Linked DNA regions of Daphnia pulex. The protein of the gene in region 2 binds, or shares a complex with, the protein of the main gene of each other region. Links are inferred from orthologs where the notes say so. Each region holds a gene or a part of one and is shown on either strand. Other genes may lie near its edges.

The links. The genes of interacting proteins can lie anywhere in the genome.
Region 1: the proteins of integrator complex subunit 1-like (region 2) and integrator complex subunit 2-like are in contact, whole or in part, in a cryo-EM structure (PDB 8RC4), measured with the Homo sapiens proteins. The link is inferred for Daphnia pulex from reciprocal best matches to the Homo sapiens genes INTS1 and INTS2. Residues at the interface, in NP_001073922.2 of Homo sapiens: Gly561, Ile562, Ala563, Trp564, Asp565, Lys566, Gly567, Ser982, His1055, Met1056, Thr1058, Pro1060, Glu1095, Arg1096, Thr1098, Ile1099, His1102, Leu1107, Arg1225, Ser1250, Phe1251, Gly1252, Ile1253, Tyr1285, His1288, Glu1291, Val1292, Gln1293, Glu1295, Arg1296; in NP_065799.2 of Homo sapiens: Pro40, Leu54, Lys69, Leu72, Arg73, Leu75, Ser76, Gly77, Val78, Glu79, Val81, Asn82, Val85, Gly125, Thr127, Leu128, Glu131, His132, Glu166, Val172, Tyr173, Glu176, Arg322, Gln325, Gln326, Arg329, Gly400, Lys402, Thr769, Met772.

The regions. Positions count from the first base shown.
Region 1 is NC_060027.1:804,098-812,393, forward strand, and holds the start of integrator complex subunit 2-like, read right to left. Parts: upstream 4,932-8,296; 5' UTR 4,817-4,931; coding exon 4,512-4,816; intron 4,451-4,511; coding exon 4,312-4,450; intron 4,251-4,311; coding exon 4,034-4,250; intron 3,978-4,033; coding exon 3,847-3,977; intron 3,784-3,846; coding exon 3,592-3,783; intron 3,523-3,591; coding exon 3,373-3,522; intron 3,291-3,372; coding exon 3,114-3,290; intron 3,059-3,113; coding exon 2,810-3,058; intron 2,748-2,809; coding exon 2,183-2,747; intron 2,107-2,182; coding exon 1,951-2,106; intron 1,869-1,950; coding exon 1,716-1,868; intron 1,653-1,715; coding exon 1,472-1,652; intron 1,404-1,471; coding exon 1,154-1,403; intron 1,086-1,153; coding exon 975-1,085; intron 915-974; coding exon 692-914; intron 630-691; coding exon 34-629; 3' UTR 1-33. Other genes in the region: microtubule-associated protein 4-like, read right to left, coding at 6,323-6,525, 6,666-6,857, 6,932-7,383, 7,449-7,774, 7,842-7,928, 7,998-8,296. UniProt on the Homo sapiens protein: Component of the integrator complex, a multiprotein complex that terminates RNA polymerase II (Pol II) transcription in the promoter-proximal region of genes.
Region 2 is NC_060019.1:12,569,650-12,577,669, reverse strand, and holds the start of integrator complex subunit 1-like, read left to right. Parts: upstream 1-3,121; 5' UTR 3,122-3,191; coding exon 3,192-3,369; intron 3,370-3,607; coding exon 3,608-3,804; intron 3,805-3,877; coding exon 3,878-4,516; intron 4,517-4,576; coding exon 4,577-4,659; intron 4,660-4,716; coding exon 4,717-4,951; intron 4,952-5,024; coding exon 5,025-5,266; intron 5,267-5,327; coding exon 5,328-5,454; intron 5,455-5,522; coding exon 5,523-5,762; intron 5,763-5,822; coding exon 5,823-5,930; intron 5,931-5,995; coding exon 5,996-6,209; intron 6,210-6,268; coding exon 6,269-6,573; intron 6,574-6,633; coding exon 6,634-6,779; intron 6,780-6,854; coding exon 6,855-7,182; intron 7,183-7,263; coding exon 7,264-7,536; intron 7,537-7,606; coding exon 7,607-7,738; intron 7,739-7,802; coding exon 7,803-8,020. Other genes in the region: histone H2A deubiquitinase MYSM1-like, read right to left, coding at 1-137, 208-320, 388-503, 580-778, 844-1,169, 1,238-2,010, 2,079-2,425, 2,491-2,697 and 2 more. UniProt on the Homo sapiens protein: Component of the integrator complex, a multiprotein complex that terminates RNA polymerase II (Pol II) transcription in the promoter-proximal region of genes.

The DNA of each region.
Region 1 (8,296 bases), on a different chromosome or scaffold from region 2:
AAAAAAGAATTTTCAATTGTGCAGAATTGTGTCTCAGTAGATTTTCTTGTGTAGAATGGCTTTGTTGCAAAGTTGAGAAAAGGTCCGAGAGACTTCGGCGCCCATTAAACTCGATTCCGGAAGCAATTTGAACAGTTGGCGGATTTGAGTCGGAGTGAAAGGCACAGACAGGTCGGAGGAAGCAGAGAAATCGACGGCTTTAGATTTGCTGTCTATTGGGACGACGGGTGCAGATGGATTGCTGGGCGGATTATTAGTTTTAGCATCGGGCAATTCCCCTTCTTCTAATTCTCCTTCCTCTCGTTCTTTCTTGATATCCACTTCCATTGGGCTTTCATCATCTTCTGGAGGCGTGACAATTTCTTCCTTGATTTTTTCCGAAACGACTTCTGCTTCCTCCATTTCTTCCTCCTCATCAACAACCATCTCGTGATCCAGCTGACGGAGCAGGGAGCTGACGATGCGGTGATCGTACGAGCCGTGTAGACATGATTGCGATAAGCAAACGCGTCCCAATTGAACCAAAAAGCTCACAATGTCGTCAACTAATGGTGGAAAAGCTGTAGCTATTCTCACAAGTGCAGGAAGAGCTGGCAGGTAAATTTCCGTACGACCATTGCTTGGTAAAACTGGACCGAATAAAGAACATGTTACACGAATATCTAAATCGATAGGTAATTGATTTCTTTACCGCTGAGAAGGGTGGATAGAGTGTTGACAGCCAGACGGGCAACATTAAAAGATCTAGGCAGTGCGTACTGTAAAGACAGGTGTGATATGAGATCAACAGCAAAGAGCTGCTTGGCCAAGTCCCCGATAATAGGCTGGGCAAGTAACTCGGGCAGAAAATCGAGACAAATGTGCATGGAAGGGATACCCTGTGTCGTCAACGGCAAGAGAGCCGAAGGATAACCCTATCAAATGAATATCAATCATTATAAATTGTTCAAGCATGTTTCAACTATCCAAAGTACCTGGAAATGGACTAATTTGACCAAATTTGGATCGGCAATAAAAAGTTGATGGAGGAAAGAACAAACAATGCTCTGAATCTCACGCAGTTCTGAAAGCCGTTGATCGTTTGCCTGGGATAAAAAGGTACCTTGTGAGAAATAAAGTTCAACTTGATGCTTTTGAAAAGAATATCAATTACCTCATCCTCGGGAGTCTGTAGGCAAAGCTCGAGTACTATCTGAACGACAGAGCTTTCTTGTGCAGCGATCAAGGCCATTTTAAGCTCTTCACGTTCGCTGTCCGACGTGACTCCTGCCAAATTGCCAGGCCCTTGTGCAGCAACAGGACCGAAAAGCGGTTTGTCGAGTAAATGACGTGACAAATGGGTTCGAGATGCACCTAGCCATGCTTTGAGCATGTATAGAACAATTTGCATAGCCGGTGGGCACCTGATAAAAAAAAACAAAAACAATAATGACCAATCGTCAGTTACTAATTTCATTTGTTGTAAAATTACCTAAAAACTCGTGGATCACACCGCAAAACGTGAAGTGGGTCAAACGTCAAATGATCCTGCGTTAGAGTAGGAGGTGGACAATCTTCCAAAGAAAGCTGCAGCCGGACAGCATTGGCCGTCATTACCCAGAGTTGACGAGGCAGGATCGAGTTCAGTTTCAACCAAACTTGGCGATACATCTCTGAAGAAAATTGGTTTTTTACAGGATATAAATTCTTCAATGATTCTAGAACATGAAACATACCTTGAACCTGTCTGGGAACAGCTTCATTGAGGGTCGATCGAAAGTGCGAGATGAAGGAGTGCGCCACTTGCCACAATGATTTTGGTGGCATAGCCAAGAGCTTCTGCATCAACAGCATGGCCGGTGCTGGACAACCGGCTACGTCGGTGAAAGCTTTAAATGAACAAAAAAAAAAAAAAAAAAACTTTTACTTCTAATTCCAAAGTACATACAAAATTTCTCACAAAATGATTACCTTGGCTCACAGTCTGCGACGAACAAGTTGGAACAGATCCATGTGGGCTGCATAAAGAAGACAATTGGCTATCGTTGACTTCATACATCCAATCTTCCACCAAACACAGCTGTGGAAAATGAGTGGCTAAAAGCCGTAATAATGGTGAAAAGAGTCCTATCGATATTTGATAAATAACAAAGGATTAACATGCGGATTGGAGAAAATGGCCAATCTTGCTTTTAAATGTTACCCGCATAAAGGTGTTGTTCTTTTTCCGCTTGACTGATCAAATATCGAATAGGCAAATCGGCGAAGAACGACTGAGAATAGGATTTGATATTGATACCAGCCACCAAGTAGTTTTTGACTTGAGTCAGACGAGTATCCTCATACAGTAGAGCGTAATATAAAAGTAAAAGCTGGGCCGTGACGGAATGCTCCTGCCCGTCTGTGCTAGCTCGGCGAACGTTCCTGGAAAAACTGTTGGCGAACACAACTCGAATTTCCTCTTCGCTGATTGGGTCATGGCCAATGTCAATGGAACCAGCTACGCCCGATTGATTCTGTTGGTTTTTCGATGGAGATAACGTCAGGATCGAGCTAACATAAACTTCGACCAAACTAGGAAGAAGTGGATGCAATGGAGGACGGCTCTCGCAAAGCTGGCGGTAAACCCAGGTCTTGATCGGCACGCGATGCTTACTAAAAGCTCGGCTTTTCAACAACTGATAGATGCAGTGAACTGGAAGGAATCCTGCAACGTCTGCATTCAAACCGGGAGTGACGGGCACTCGGACAGCGTGAGATGTCACCACCTAACATTCGAATTTAAAAGGATAAGATTTTGACCAAATAAACTTGTTAACAAAGCTCAAACCTGCTCTGGGAATATGTCTTGAGTAAATGCCACCTTCATACGAGCAGTAGAAGCGGGCCGGAGTAAAAGCCTCATGCCAAGCGTTGAGCAGACCAGGTCGCAAACTGCGCTCAACTGTCCACTGTGAAAGTGGATAGCCATTAGTAATAACATCTCTCCAAAACTGCTCCTCGCTGTTTCCATGCACTTGCCAGAGGAAGTCGCTGGCGATTTTTCAAAGTAGCTTTCTTCCCTCACCAACCATTTCACCTAAAATCACAAAATATAACAACTGATATTAATTACGAATAACTTGCGATTATACCCATCGAAAACCGCTTTGTTCTTGGTCGGGCAAGGCGATGAGAGATGGACAAGCCATCAGCATGCAGAGTCCCAGGGCAACGAAACGAAGGCCAGCTTCGGTTGGCGGTGGACGACAGGTAATTAATTGCAATAAAAGCCCACCTTCTTCGTCGTACAACTTCATTCCTGCTATACCCTACAAATATTGAAATAAAGGGTTAGTTTTTCAATTCCAACACCCCTATCTAACATACTATTATTGGAATGAATAGAATTACTTTTAAAGCACAATACAGTCGTAAAAGGGCCGACGCATCAACAGCACAACGGTCAGGTAACGGCTCATCAGCAGCCATTTGAACAAACGACTGCAAACTTCTCAGTAGCTCTTGGCGTAAAGTATGTAACGCAGTGGCACGATCATGTCGCTGTAAAATAAGGAAATAGAGTTAAATACGTTGACGGCTAACATAAAGTACATTTAAAGAAAGCTAAACCTTTTGTCCATTCCTAATGAAAAGAGAAAACCAGGTGCGGATATTTGCATCTCCACCCAAAAGTAGACCAGAGATAAACGGTACGACATCTCCCAACTGGGTTTCAATTTTATCTGTTTTGATCATTTTATGGCAGGATGCATAGTCCAAACTAAGTAAAACAGCCAGAGCCGGCATTCTGCACATCTCCACCTGATAGGGAAAAAAACCTTAAACTAAAGAGAACAAAGCTTTGTCAGAGATAAAAAAACTTACACATTTAAGTTGGATCATCAAAATCTGATTTGGGCACATCCTGCAGAGGGATCTAAGTGTTTCTAATCTGGCCCGTCCAAGGAAGGATTCTTCTTCATATCTTTCACCATTGCTAATCAAACTCTGGCAAACTTGAAACAAACTACTTCTAAAATATAGTTCAAACCACACTTTGGAAAAATATTACCTTCATTGAAAGTATCAGGCATATTAGCCACTATTCGACATATGAAAGATGGACCGTGAAGTGTTCTCAAGAGAGCTTCTGCAACTTCTGTTATAGGTAGCAGAATTGTCAGCTCTGCTAAAGCAACACACAGCACATCAGCTACTTCATCAAAATAGATTTCCTGGTCCAACAGTTCACTGCTTTTGTATGTGGTTTCTGGTCTGATTTCTTTGCTCTAGAAATTAAAATAAGAAACAATAATATTGTGGAAAATGAATGCTTTATGAGGAATCTACTTGTGCCATGAGTGTGAGGAGCTCACTGAGAAACAGCCTTAATTTCCTCGTTGGATCACTCCTTTCAAATTCCAGTGCATAACTGTTTGATAGTGACTGAATCAAGACAGAGTCTTCAGTTTGATTACCAAGCTTTTGACTGCAATACAAATTTTGATTAAAAATAAAAGAAGTAGTCATAACAATAGTAAAGAAAATACCGTAGCATTTGTTCTTTCTTGACGTCAACCTCAAGAGCATGGAAATCAATTGAAAGTAACCCAACTATGGAATTGACAATTTCACGACCGGATAATATTTGGAAGACCATTCTTCGAGATTTGGTGCATTCACTAGATTGGTCCAGTGGGCCTATCAAACTCATTCTAGCCAAACATGGCATAACAGCTCGAATTTCTTCTTCGTTACATTCCGCTAAGTTATCTACATCCAAATTCTGTAGAGCTTGAAACACACGAGGCGAAACATTTCGTTTCGAAACGGAACGAATCGGTGGCATCGGCATTTTATTGGCAAAATATTGTGTTTTTAAGACCACAATCAATCAACAAATCGCCATGGAGTGGTTTACATAGCAAGCTTGATTTTCATGTGAACCATTGTGTTGTCAAGGCAACGAGCAGACGAAACTGATTCTGATCCTCTAGCGGCAAAACGTAGGAACTACAGTTTACACGGCGCCTTATTAGGGCGAATCCGGATTGCTCGGATAGCTCACGACTCACGTCATCCGACTGAGCAGATGACAAGATGATCAAAGCTACAAGGGGCACTAATGTTGCACTCAACGGACATGATAATAGCAAGTTATAAACTTATAATGATTTAAAAAGACGTTTCTCCCCATTGCTTTTCATTTATTTGCGCTACAATGTTGTAACTCGCACTTCTCACGTAATGGATTACAAAATGTGGAGGGTATTGCATCCAAAAGTTGAAGACGGAAAGGAAACACAATCTTTGAACGTATAAAAACGAAACTCATCCAATTAAAAAAAAAATCAGCGCAATCAATATTTTAAATTAATTACCATGTGGTTGTAAGAAGTAGAGAAGAGAGTAGGAAGAAGCAGCAGTGGACACAATCACCTCGGCTGGACATTGGCGTGACTATCAACAACAGAAAATAGGGGGGGGGGGGAGAGAAAAATAAAAGCAAAGGCAAACCGTTGCTGTGCGCGGCAAATTTGAAATTGAAAATCATGAAACCCCACAAACACAAAAGAGAAAACAAAAAGAAATTATGGAATCGAGCAAGAGGGGGAAAAAAAACGAAGGGACGACATTTTCTTTCATGACTTTTGACACGAATACAGTTAATAATAAAATAGGTGATTATTAGCCGAAAGAGCGTTGGTGGGTGGGAGTGCAGGGCGTGCGAAAGTAATATTTAGCCATTAGGGGGAAGTAAAAGAGGTTTTCACAATCCTTTTACATATTGTTGATGTTGTGTGTTGCCAAGAAAGAAATGTGGGGGGAGGGGGGATAGCAGTACATTAACTCACGCACACGCTTTCACACACGCTCACTCACACGCAGGGGGGAAAAATGATTGATGATTCTTGAATCTCTTCCTTGATATCTTTACAGGGGCCCGCAATCGCAACAAAGTTTTCACGTAGCCATTCTCCATTTCTTTATTTCCCTAGTACTTAAATTGTTCGTTTCTTCTCTCTTTCGGCTCGGATTCAACTATTTTGAAATCTTTAATTATTATTTTTTTTTTACCTTTATTGTCTTTTAGAAAATTGCAAACGATGGAGGAAAAAAAAACATTTAAAAGAAAAAACGAGAACGTTTAAAAAGCTGGCAGACGATGAATCATGAGCGAATGAAAGAGAGACGGGCGGTATACATAGCAGGCGGCGGTAGGGAGTTATTATAATATGGTTGGGCGTTTTCCACTCGTTATTTCCTTTTTCCCTCTCTATTTTTTTAAATCTCCTTGGTTATCTCGAACCTTTCACATTTAAAACACGCTTAATTCTGATGCTTTTTAACCTGCTCTACATTATTCCGCGTCGGCCGGTGCAGGAGCAAGAGCGACTTCGGGTGTTGCTGTGGTTACTTCGGGAGCAGCCGAAGCGCTGGATGCTGATTTGGCTGCTCCCGGCGATTTGGTTGCCGCACCAGTTTTGGTTGCACCAAGCTTGGAAGTTGATGTCGTCGTCTTTGCGATCGGCTTACCAGGCGTGGCCGTTCTGCTTGCAACACCTGGGAAGAAATAAAAAAATAAGAAAATGTAATTTAGGAGAGAGATAAAAGGTAGATGTTAAAAGTCAATCAAAACGCCCTTCTTTTCCAACACGCTCTGAACAACAACAACAACAACCGCAAAAACAATGAAACCTTACTCTTCAATGGCGCCGGGCGAGTAGGGGTGGCGGTGGTTGTTGCGGGTTTAGTGGCTGCGAGTTTGGTGCTGGCTGCGGTGGGTCTGGGAGTAGCGGATTTCGTAGCTGTGCCATTAACGATGGGCTTGGCCGTAGTGCGAGTCGTTGACGTAGCAGCGGGTTTCGGCTTGATGTCGCCGTTGGTAGTAGCTGCTGCACATTTCAAAAAAGAATTGACATGTGAAAATCCAGCGGAAGAATGTATACAAGCAAAAGGTAATAAGTACCAGCAGATTTGGTGGCTGCGGTGGCGGCTGGGCGACTAGTGGCACTGGAAGCTTTAGCAGGAGCGGAAACGATACGACGCGGTGGTGTCGCAGATGTGGTCGAAGCGGTGGTGCGAGAAGACGAGGTGCTCGTGGCCGGTTTGGCCGGAGATGCCGTCTTGGCTACTCCGTTCACAGCTGGCGTTACTCTCTTGGCTGGAGTGGCAGTAACTGTCCGGCTGGCGACAGTTGTCGTGGTGGTGGTGGTGGTAGTCTTTTTCACCGTCGATGTAGTAGACACTGCGGGTTTGGCAGCAGGTCTAGTGGTCGCAGGAGCTGCTCTAGGGGCAGCAGGCTTAGGAGCAGGAGAAGCAGGGGCAGCTGGAGTAGCTTTTCTCAGTGGAGATAATTTGGTCGGACGCGCTGGTTTCGTCGAATCAGCTGATGGTTTAGCGTCAGTGGTAGCAGCACGGCTATAGAAATCAATAAAAATTCAATTAATCCAAAGATCTAGTACAGTGATCATTTATTAGCATACCGTGTAGCTGGTTCCAGTTTCTTAACTGAATCCTTAGCAGCAGGTTTAGCGGCTAGTGAACTGGCAGCAGGTTTAGCGGCCAGTGGACTAGCAGCCGGTTTTGACGGAGTAGACGTAGTCTTCTTTGCAGCTGCGACGGGTTTCTTAGCGGCAGGAGACTTGGCAGCAGCCTTTGATGCCACTGCTGCTGTAGCGGCGGCTGCAATGCCAATGGCTGTTCCAGTCACAATCAAAGCGGGTGCTTCAGAACCGATAGTAGCCGAATCGGAAACTGGACTCTCCAAAAGTCGTGGTTCGACCGTTTCCTGTGTGCTACTAACTTCCACCTAACGACGTCAAGAAACAGAATTGTATTTAACCTGTCAAGTTCGATTTCAGACCAATCGAATTCACCTCTTTGACGTCCGGTACGACTTCATCTGGAACTAACTCTGGTTCTTGGACAGTCGAGGAAATGATGGTAGATTGGGTTTCTTCAACCTAAGAATTGGGAGCCAGTAACAAGTTAGATGGGAGATCAAATAAAAACCAGTTGTGTGACATTCAAACCTGTTGGATGTGTGCTTCGACATCTTCTGCTTGAGAAACAGCTTCTTCCATCTGAGGTTGGTGAACAACATCAGGCTCAACAACTTCATCTTTATGAACAATTTCTTCTTCTTGGTTGACAGCTTCTTCTGGGTGGACAATTTCCTCCTGATGAATAGTTTCTTCTGGGTGGACAATTTCCTCCTGATGAACAGTTTCTTCTGGGTGGACAATTTCTTCCTGATGAAGGGCTTCTTCTTGGTGGACACCTTCATCTTTGTGAACAACTTCTTTTACCGGTTCTGGCTCAGGAATGGTGA
Region 2 (8,020 bases):
GGACCAAAGTTGGACACAGATCTAGGTTGGTCTCCAAAACATCAAGTGTTATTCGAACTTTGTTCAATTCATTTGCCCCGCAATCGAATACCGGTAGCTCATGTTTATACGGTAAATCGTCATGAACGGTGATGCATCTATACTCGAATGTGTTGCAATTGATTGTTAGCTTTGAGTCTACTTTAAACGCAACTAGAAACTACTTACCGAATTGTCGATTTGAGAGACATGGATGTTTTGATCCCAGAAGAAGAAAAGGGGTTAACAATTAGGCCGACGAAAGGCGCATCTTGCCGGGAAAACCATTGCTGGAATTCGTTCTAAAAGCAAACATTACAAATATAGAATGTGTAATCAAAGACATGACGACATACACTCTATGCTCACCTGAGTATTTAAATCGCGTAAAGAAGGGAGGGCAGGGAATGTCGGATGAGAGTGATACCAGCCTACAATTTCAAGACCGCGAGATCGTAACTCCTCACTGCCTTCTGTTTGTGAAACTGTAATAGCAGAAATTACACAGTTCAGTTTTTATGAAGTGTGATTTGATCAGCAGAAAAAACAAAACAATCTTACTAGGACACATTTCACATTGATGGTTAGTTGCCTGACTTCGACACGGTTGGGCGGCTTCGATGGATAACGTAGCCGGAGACTTATCCGATCCCGGATAGATGTGGCCTCCAAGTAAGCCAATAATTTCTGTTGTGCAAGTATGAGAATGGAGGTCAATAACTACAAGCGCTTCCACCGAAAGTTGTACGCTGAAAGGTGCCTTTAACAAAGAGAAACATTTTCCAATTAAACCATAATAATTTCATTCAAATAACAAAGAGATACCTCTTTCTCGCCACCGAAATTTAGACATGGAACTAACTGAAAAGGAGATTTCTCCTCAAGTTGTGGTTTTGTTCTTTTTTTCGGTTTTTGTTTTTGTGGACTAGTAGATCCTGAATTCGAAATGAATGAGCTCCCTTGAGAGCCGTCGTGGCTGATTGTGTACCCGCCATTCTCGTCTCCATTTTCATGATGGGGTCTCTTCTTCCTGACCCTTGCTGGTAGTCCGGAAATGAGAGGAAGGTTGTTCACAAAATGAGTACTGCTGTTCGCCATTCTCTCTCGATGGCAGGGCACTGGTGGCAACGGACGGTTGTATTGTACCTGATCTGTAGGATTTGAACGAATAAAAATGTTAAATGAACTGTGTAGAAATATCAAAGATAGAAAAGCATACCACATCCAAAGTTTATGGCCCCTGTCAATTCCAAGTAAGCGTGCACTCGGCTGATACAATTAACATCTCCGCAGTTTTTGAGGGAAGGACGAACGGATGTTTTCGTGAGGTAACGTGGTTTTACTCTGCGCCACTCTTGAACAATGCTGTTACGAATCTTCATGTACCTTTCCGGTGTTTTACTGGGACGACCCTCAAAGAAATCCCAATGAATCGTCTTTTCCTCATCTGTGATAATAGTAAATGCAACGGTTCGCTCTTCTAGGGGAGCTGGAAACGTGAAGACGGGCTGCGGGGGTTCAGCGTCCATTAATCCAACATCTGGGTTCTTGGAATCAGTCTCAGAAGATTCACATTCACTTTTATCTTCTTGTGCGTATTTTGTTGATGGCTCAGACGGCTGTGGTAGTGGTGGTGCCAGAGTTTCTATGATTTCAGCTTCTTGAATTTCGTTTTTAATTGGAACAGAAGAATCATCAGAAGATGACTGTAATTTTAGGGTTTCTTTTAAAATGGTTGGAGGTTTGTTGGCTGTACGTTCCTCTTCATCGTCACTGCAATCAATATCAACTTCGGAATCGCTAGAATCTACTAGTTCACTTGTTCTTTGTAATCGAATAATTTCTCCTTGAAGAATGGGAACCGGTTTCTTTGTAAGTGTGGCATCATCAATTATTATATTACAATTTGTTAATTGGGGGACGGATAAGTCTTTTGAAATTTTCCTAGGTCTTCCAGGCGCTTTCTTAACTAAGAGTGGATTTTTTACCCGCCTAAAGAAAGAATTTTAAAAATATCTATATTGAATCAATGGCAGTTATTGTTTAAATATTTGTCATACCTTATTTCTTTTGTAGGAGATTTTGGTTTTGAACGGTTCGTCTTTTTGCTATTTTTTGTCGGAGTCAAGTCCCACTTGGTAGGTGCCACACTAGCAATTACTTCTTCTGTGGATACAGCAGGGACTTCTGCTTCATAAACAATGTCACCCATAGAAAAGTGAAAGGTTGGTTCTTCGTTTGTAACTTCCACTTCATTGATGAACTGAGGAGGTGATGGGGTATTGGAAATGTGAACTGAGGAACTTGTAATAAGTTCTGGATGTGATTTAATGTAACTTTTCACTTGAAGAGTAGTCTTGGTTCCAACTGCTCTAGCAACCTTGCTCCAATTTTGATTGTGTAGACCCTTTAATAAAAGTATCAAGTAAGTTACACAGTCCTGCCATAATCAGTAACCACTCCGACACTTACAATTCCTTTACGAAGAGATGCAACATCATCTTTAGTCCACATAGGACTCACTTTTGAAGCAACTACAGCAGATGTTGTGGTTGATGGAGGGTTTGCCATGGGTAAACTGTTTGAAAAGTGTTTTTTCTCTTCATGGAGCATATTCTCCCAATTAAGTGTTTTGTTCTTATCTTCATTGGCATGATCCATCATTGGCATATTCCAAACCTGTGAGAAAGTTAGATCTTGCTGTACCCAAATATAAACCACTTTGAATAAAAATTTACTTGTGAACTTTCAAGAAGCCAAGGATGTTGCATATAATCGCCCAATAATTCCGAATTCTGTGTAGGAAACTCCCCGGCATCGTATTGGTTCAAATCCGTCCTGTGATCAAATGTCAGTTAGTACAAATAACATGCAAACAAAAGCTTGTACATACTCAAGATTTAGACAGAAATCCCCTAGAACATCAACTTCATCGTCGTCTTCCATTTTTCTTAACGAATGTGTTTTCACAACAAGCTTGATGCCTCTATCACTAATTATATGCCAATTTGCTGCAGACGACGTGTTGAGGGGGGGGGGAGGAAAATGTCGTATGCGATTCGCTTTACAAACAGAAATGCAACCACGCTTTCTTGCAGAAGACACTCGCAGACTCGGCTCAACCAAAAACAAAATCAGTTTCGAAGAGGTGTTAATGCTGGACGGTAGTTATAATGGATCGGGGCAAGAATTTGCCGCCTAAAAACTCCAAGTCAAAACCCCTTGGATTCTCTGGTGATTTTATTGCTCTTGGACCAAAGCAAAGTCGAGCAGAACCAGTTGATGCAAAGAAATCAGGATCTTCTTCAGGTGGTCCATCAAAACCCACTCCTGCTCCACTTCCTTCTTTGGGTAAAATGAGAACAAAAATATTTCTATTTCCATTCTTTCTTTCCCTGGTCCTGACCCTGACCAATAACTTGCTTATCATATCCTTTTATAAATTAAGTTTGAACATGGATTATAAAATTTTAAACTTATCCACATTCCTGTTTAACAATCTCTTTTAACTCGGTTCAGCTACTATTATTATTTATTCTTTCAGTCTGTACATTAGCCTTAAAGAATGATATGTTTCATGACTGTGTAGGTCCTTCAGATAAAAAGCGGGAAGCACCAAGCCAGCTGCCAGGTTCATCTCAAAATCCAGCTAAGAAAGCAAAGCCTGGGCTCCCAAATACTGCATCCTTTACTGCATTGGGAAGACCTGCTTTGAAGGCTGCTGATCCTCCCAGTCCAGGTTCGACTGGTAACAGACTAGAGCCATGGGAAGAAGCTGCTATAGAGGTAGAGTTACTCAATCTTCTGGATTTTATCAATTTATCTTTAAATAATGTTTCTTTATAAAAATTTATTCAAGATTGAAGCATCAGAGTTGTTGAATGCTATTGGAGAGGCTGAAAGTAATGATGATGAAGAAAGAATTGAAGCAATCCTATGTGGATCAGTTAAGCAACTGAAAGCCTTTAGTCTGAGTCAACGGAATAAAGTGGAACCCATTCTTGCACTAGCCCTTGTCTACTTAGCTAAATGGAGATCGCAATATTTCAACACCGAATTGATTGTTGAAGCTTTATTGGTATTACTCAAACGAGACGTTACCGCCAGTATTGGTCCTTTTAAAGGAAGGACAACTGCTTCTGCAGCTTCACTGGCTTGCAATTTGTTGTTAGCCGGTCTAGAAGATTCAACGGAATGGCCAGAATCTTTCTTGAAAGTTTTTGTCGAAGATTCCGTTGGAGAACGAGTTTGGGTAGATCGCGAAGAATGTCAAGGGTTTGTCGAGAATATCCTAACGGCATTCAACACCAAAGTCCCTTCAAGGAACATCCTTCAACAAGAAAGTGCTACTGGCACTGGACTTGGATCTTCTGGTGCTGCTAGTTCTCCTAGTATAACTTCTCTTGGCACCACTGGTCTTGAAGATGATGCCAGCGTGGATTCAGATAACAGTCAGGGTGGGCTGCTTCGAGGTTCAACTCATCTCGATCAGCAACAGGTAACAAGTGGGATTTAAATTATGCACATAGTTGTATTTTCATTGTTACCTTTTTCTTAGGTTCGAGTTATTCCTCGATTTCAACATCTCAAAGACATGGCAGAAGCACTTGTCATGGAAATAGTAAATCAACATTTAAGCAGGTATTAAAATATTTGAGTTGCATTAAGGTTAGGGTAATATAATCAATGGTTTCTCAGACGGCAGCAACCGGCATCTGACCTCACTACAAGGAACTTCTTAAAGTTTTTGACATCAACAGCTGGTTTGCCCGCTGTAAGAACTCAAGCTGCCCAGCGATTGGAAATGTGGCTTTCCAATCAAAAACTTGTGAGACCAGCCACCGACCTCCTCCTCTCGATCTGCGTCAATTGCAGTACCGAAGCTCCTACAGACACAGATGTTCTAAATGCTCTTCTACGTTTGAGATTAAAGGTAGTAATAACGTCAATGTTTTTGTTTTAATTTCAGAACAAAAATAGTAATACTTTCTTCTTTTGATTTTCAGAGTAAACCGCTGCTCCAGACATATCTAACTTGTTTTAAAGAATTGGTCGAGCAGCAGGTGGACCAGCTTCCACTCATTGTGCGGTTGTTAATATTCAATGAGCTCTCCCCTTCTCGAGGACCGAATAACATGGCAGTACTGGCTGTTTTGGTCCAACCGTGGCCTGATCGTGCTGCCACAATTTTAGCGGACGTTTTTATGGAACTTCTACTCAATCGTGACGATTACCTTCGGGCACTCAGGTATTTTGCATTTGCAATTCACAGACGTGGACTGGGTATAATTAATGTTATATGTTTTTAGAGCACTATTACGTGAAGTGGTTCGCGCTCTCCGCCACGACTTACCTTTACCGACATTTTGTGCAGCTCTTTTACACGGTTGTATGCAAGAGAGACGCAAAGTTGCAATCAGAGAATTCGAATTCAAGGTTCGGTAGTATTTAAAAAAAACCATGTTAGTAGCAATACGAAATAATATAATGACTTTTGATACCAGGATCGGCTTTTGAATTCATTGGCAGACTTGACGACTTTATGCATTTTCCTTGCCATAAGTCCAGGTGTGCGTGAATCAGCATCTTTGGTCGCCCGTGGAGATTTGAGAGAGATGGAACTTTTCCGACAGTTTCACGTCCAAGCATCGGCCGTCCAAAGAGAATCGATCAGCTGGTTAAGAACGTCCATCCCGTCCGTGTTTGAGCCCAATCGGGTCGATTATATGCACTGTCTCCGTAAAGTAAGTGTTGTAACGTTCAATTAATAGTTCATTAAATCTTAACCTACAACTTTATTTTAGGTTTTGTTTATGGAAAGTGGAGAGCATTATTACAATAAAGACGGTTGGCCACTCGAGTCGGATCGACCCATTATGATAAGATTGGCTTCTGAAATTCCCGTTATGGAGGTATTTTCCAATTGAAAACCAACTTTTGCGACTGATGATTTGTTAACCACATTTTATTTTTTCAGGATTCATTGATCCAAATCCTGCTCATTGGTTTGTCAAAAGATCATCCAATTACGGCTCCTGACGCATTAGATCTGGCTGATCAATTATTAAGACGATGTGCAGCAGTTCATAATCTAGGATTCCTTATGCTAGAGGCTGATAACCAAGAAATTTTTGACATGGTTTTCCGCCTCACAGCTTATCATTATCCTGAAAATATCGTCTTGCCACAAGGTATTCAAGCGTGTAATCTTATCTTAATTCGTCACAAGCTAATTTTTTTGTTACTTAAGGATATACTCCTCCAAATCTGGCAATTAGCACACTTTACTGGAAGGCTTGGTTGATGCTATTGATGCTGATTGCTCATAATCCTGGCAGTCTTGGGTCTGAAGCATGGAATTCATTCCCTACACTACGAGCATTGATGGAGATGTGTATCACAAATGATTTCGCTACTTCTTCTGGTACCACAGACCAGACAGAGTTGCAGGTGGCTGCAATTGAAAAGCAAACCATCTTGGAATTCGAAACACATCTAGCAGCCGCCTCTACAAAAACTGTTATTACCGAGAACAATTCTTTGCTGCTTAGTCAAGTATTAAAAGCGCTCTTAACTTTTGATTTTCTTGCAAATCATTGTAATATTTTACTTTAGTTGACATCGCTTGATCCACGAGGATCTACTCGACGACCTCCTCCAGCTGTTATTGAGCAGCTTCGAACTTTGAACGCAACACTTCGACTGGGTCACCTACTTTGTCGAAGTCGCCAACCGGACTTTTTATTGGAAATTCTGCATAGGTATGTGAAATAGTATGACTTCAAATAGCGAAATTCTAATCTAATTTTCTTCAATGCAAATTATTTTTTATGTAGGCAAGGAGCTGCGCAATCGAAGCCATGGTTGGCTGATTTGGTCGAGTCCAATGAAGGTGCTTGGAACGTTCTGCCTGTTCAATGTCTTTGTGAGTTTTTGCTGCACGAAGCAGCTGATGATCTGCCTGTTAATGATCTAATGGACGATAGTAAGCAACAGCTCGGCAAACGCAAGGAACGTCGTCACAAACACCAACAGTTGGTCCAGCATCTAAGACTTTTGTTGACTGATCCCAATCAACTACCCGAAGCATGCCGTGAAGTCCTAGACTATTTGATGAGACGATTGAGTGCTCAGAAAGCTCTCGCCCGTCACCAAGCCCTCACGGTAAGAGTTTATTTTCATAATCAACGAGTTTGCTTAAATAATTATACGGTTCAATGATTATACATTACGTTTGCATAATAGGCATTGAGTGTGGTCTTGGCAGTAAAAGACGATGATATTACCATGAGTGATGGTGCATGCTCCGAAGGAACAGGAGACGATTCCCAGTTCTCTTGGCTTGTTCATCAGTTACCTACCATCCCACATTTCGAAGCCGTACGCCCTGCCGTGATTGCCGCTCTACGGGCCGCCTTTCTAATTGAAACGCAACCACAAGCCGTAGCGGCGTACTTGAAGTTCTTATCCACCTGCGCTTTGGAAGAGCCAATTCAAGACCAAGCTGATCTTAGCTTGGTAAATAATTATATTGTAACTTTTTTTATCAGCGAAATGATATGTAATTACTGTGGTTTTATAATTACAGGATCTTGCCCAGGTAATTGTAGAGCGTAGCAGTTTAATTGCTGCTCTCTTACCTTCACCATCAAACAAAACGCTGCAAGCAGCAAAAACGCTGGAATGTTTCTTGCAACTCTTTTGGCATTACCTTCTCAAAGTAATTAATGCTGTTTCCAATTAATTTTTTGGCCAGTTGAAATGATAAAACTTGTATTTAATAGGCACGAGAGCCAAACAAAGGATCCTACACTTGGTCGGAGAATCAAGACCAAGTTTTGATACAGTGGCAATCTGGCGAAGCCGCTTCCCTTCACATTATGGTTGTTCACGCCATAGTGAGTCTGCTGACTTACGGAGCCCCTCAGCTTGAGCAGCAGTCAACCTGTTTCGGTCGACTACTAGAAATTTGGTTTCCTGCCAGCGGTGTACAACCCCAGGC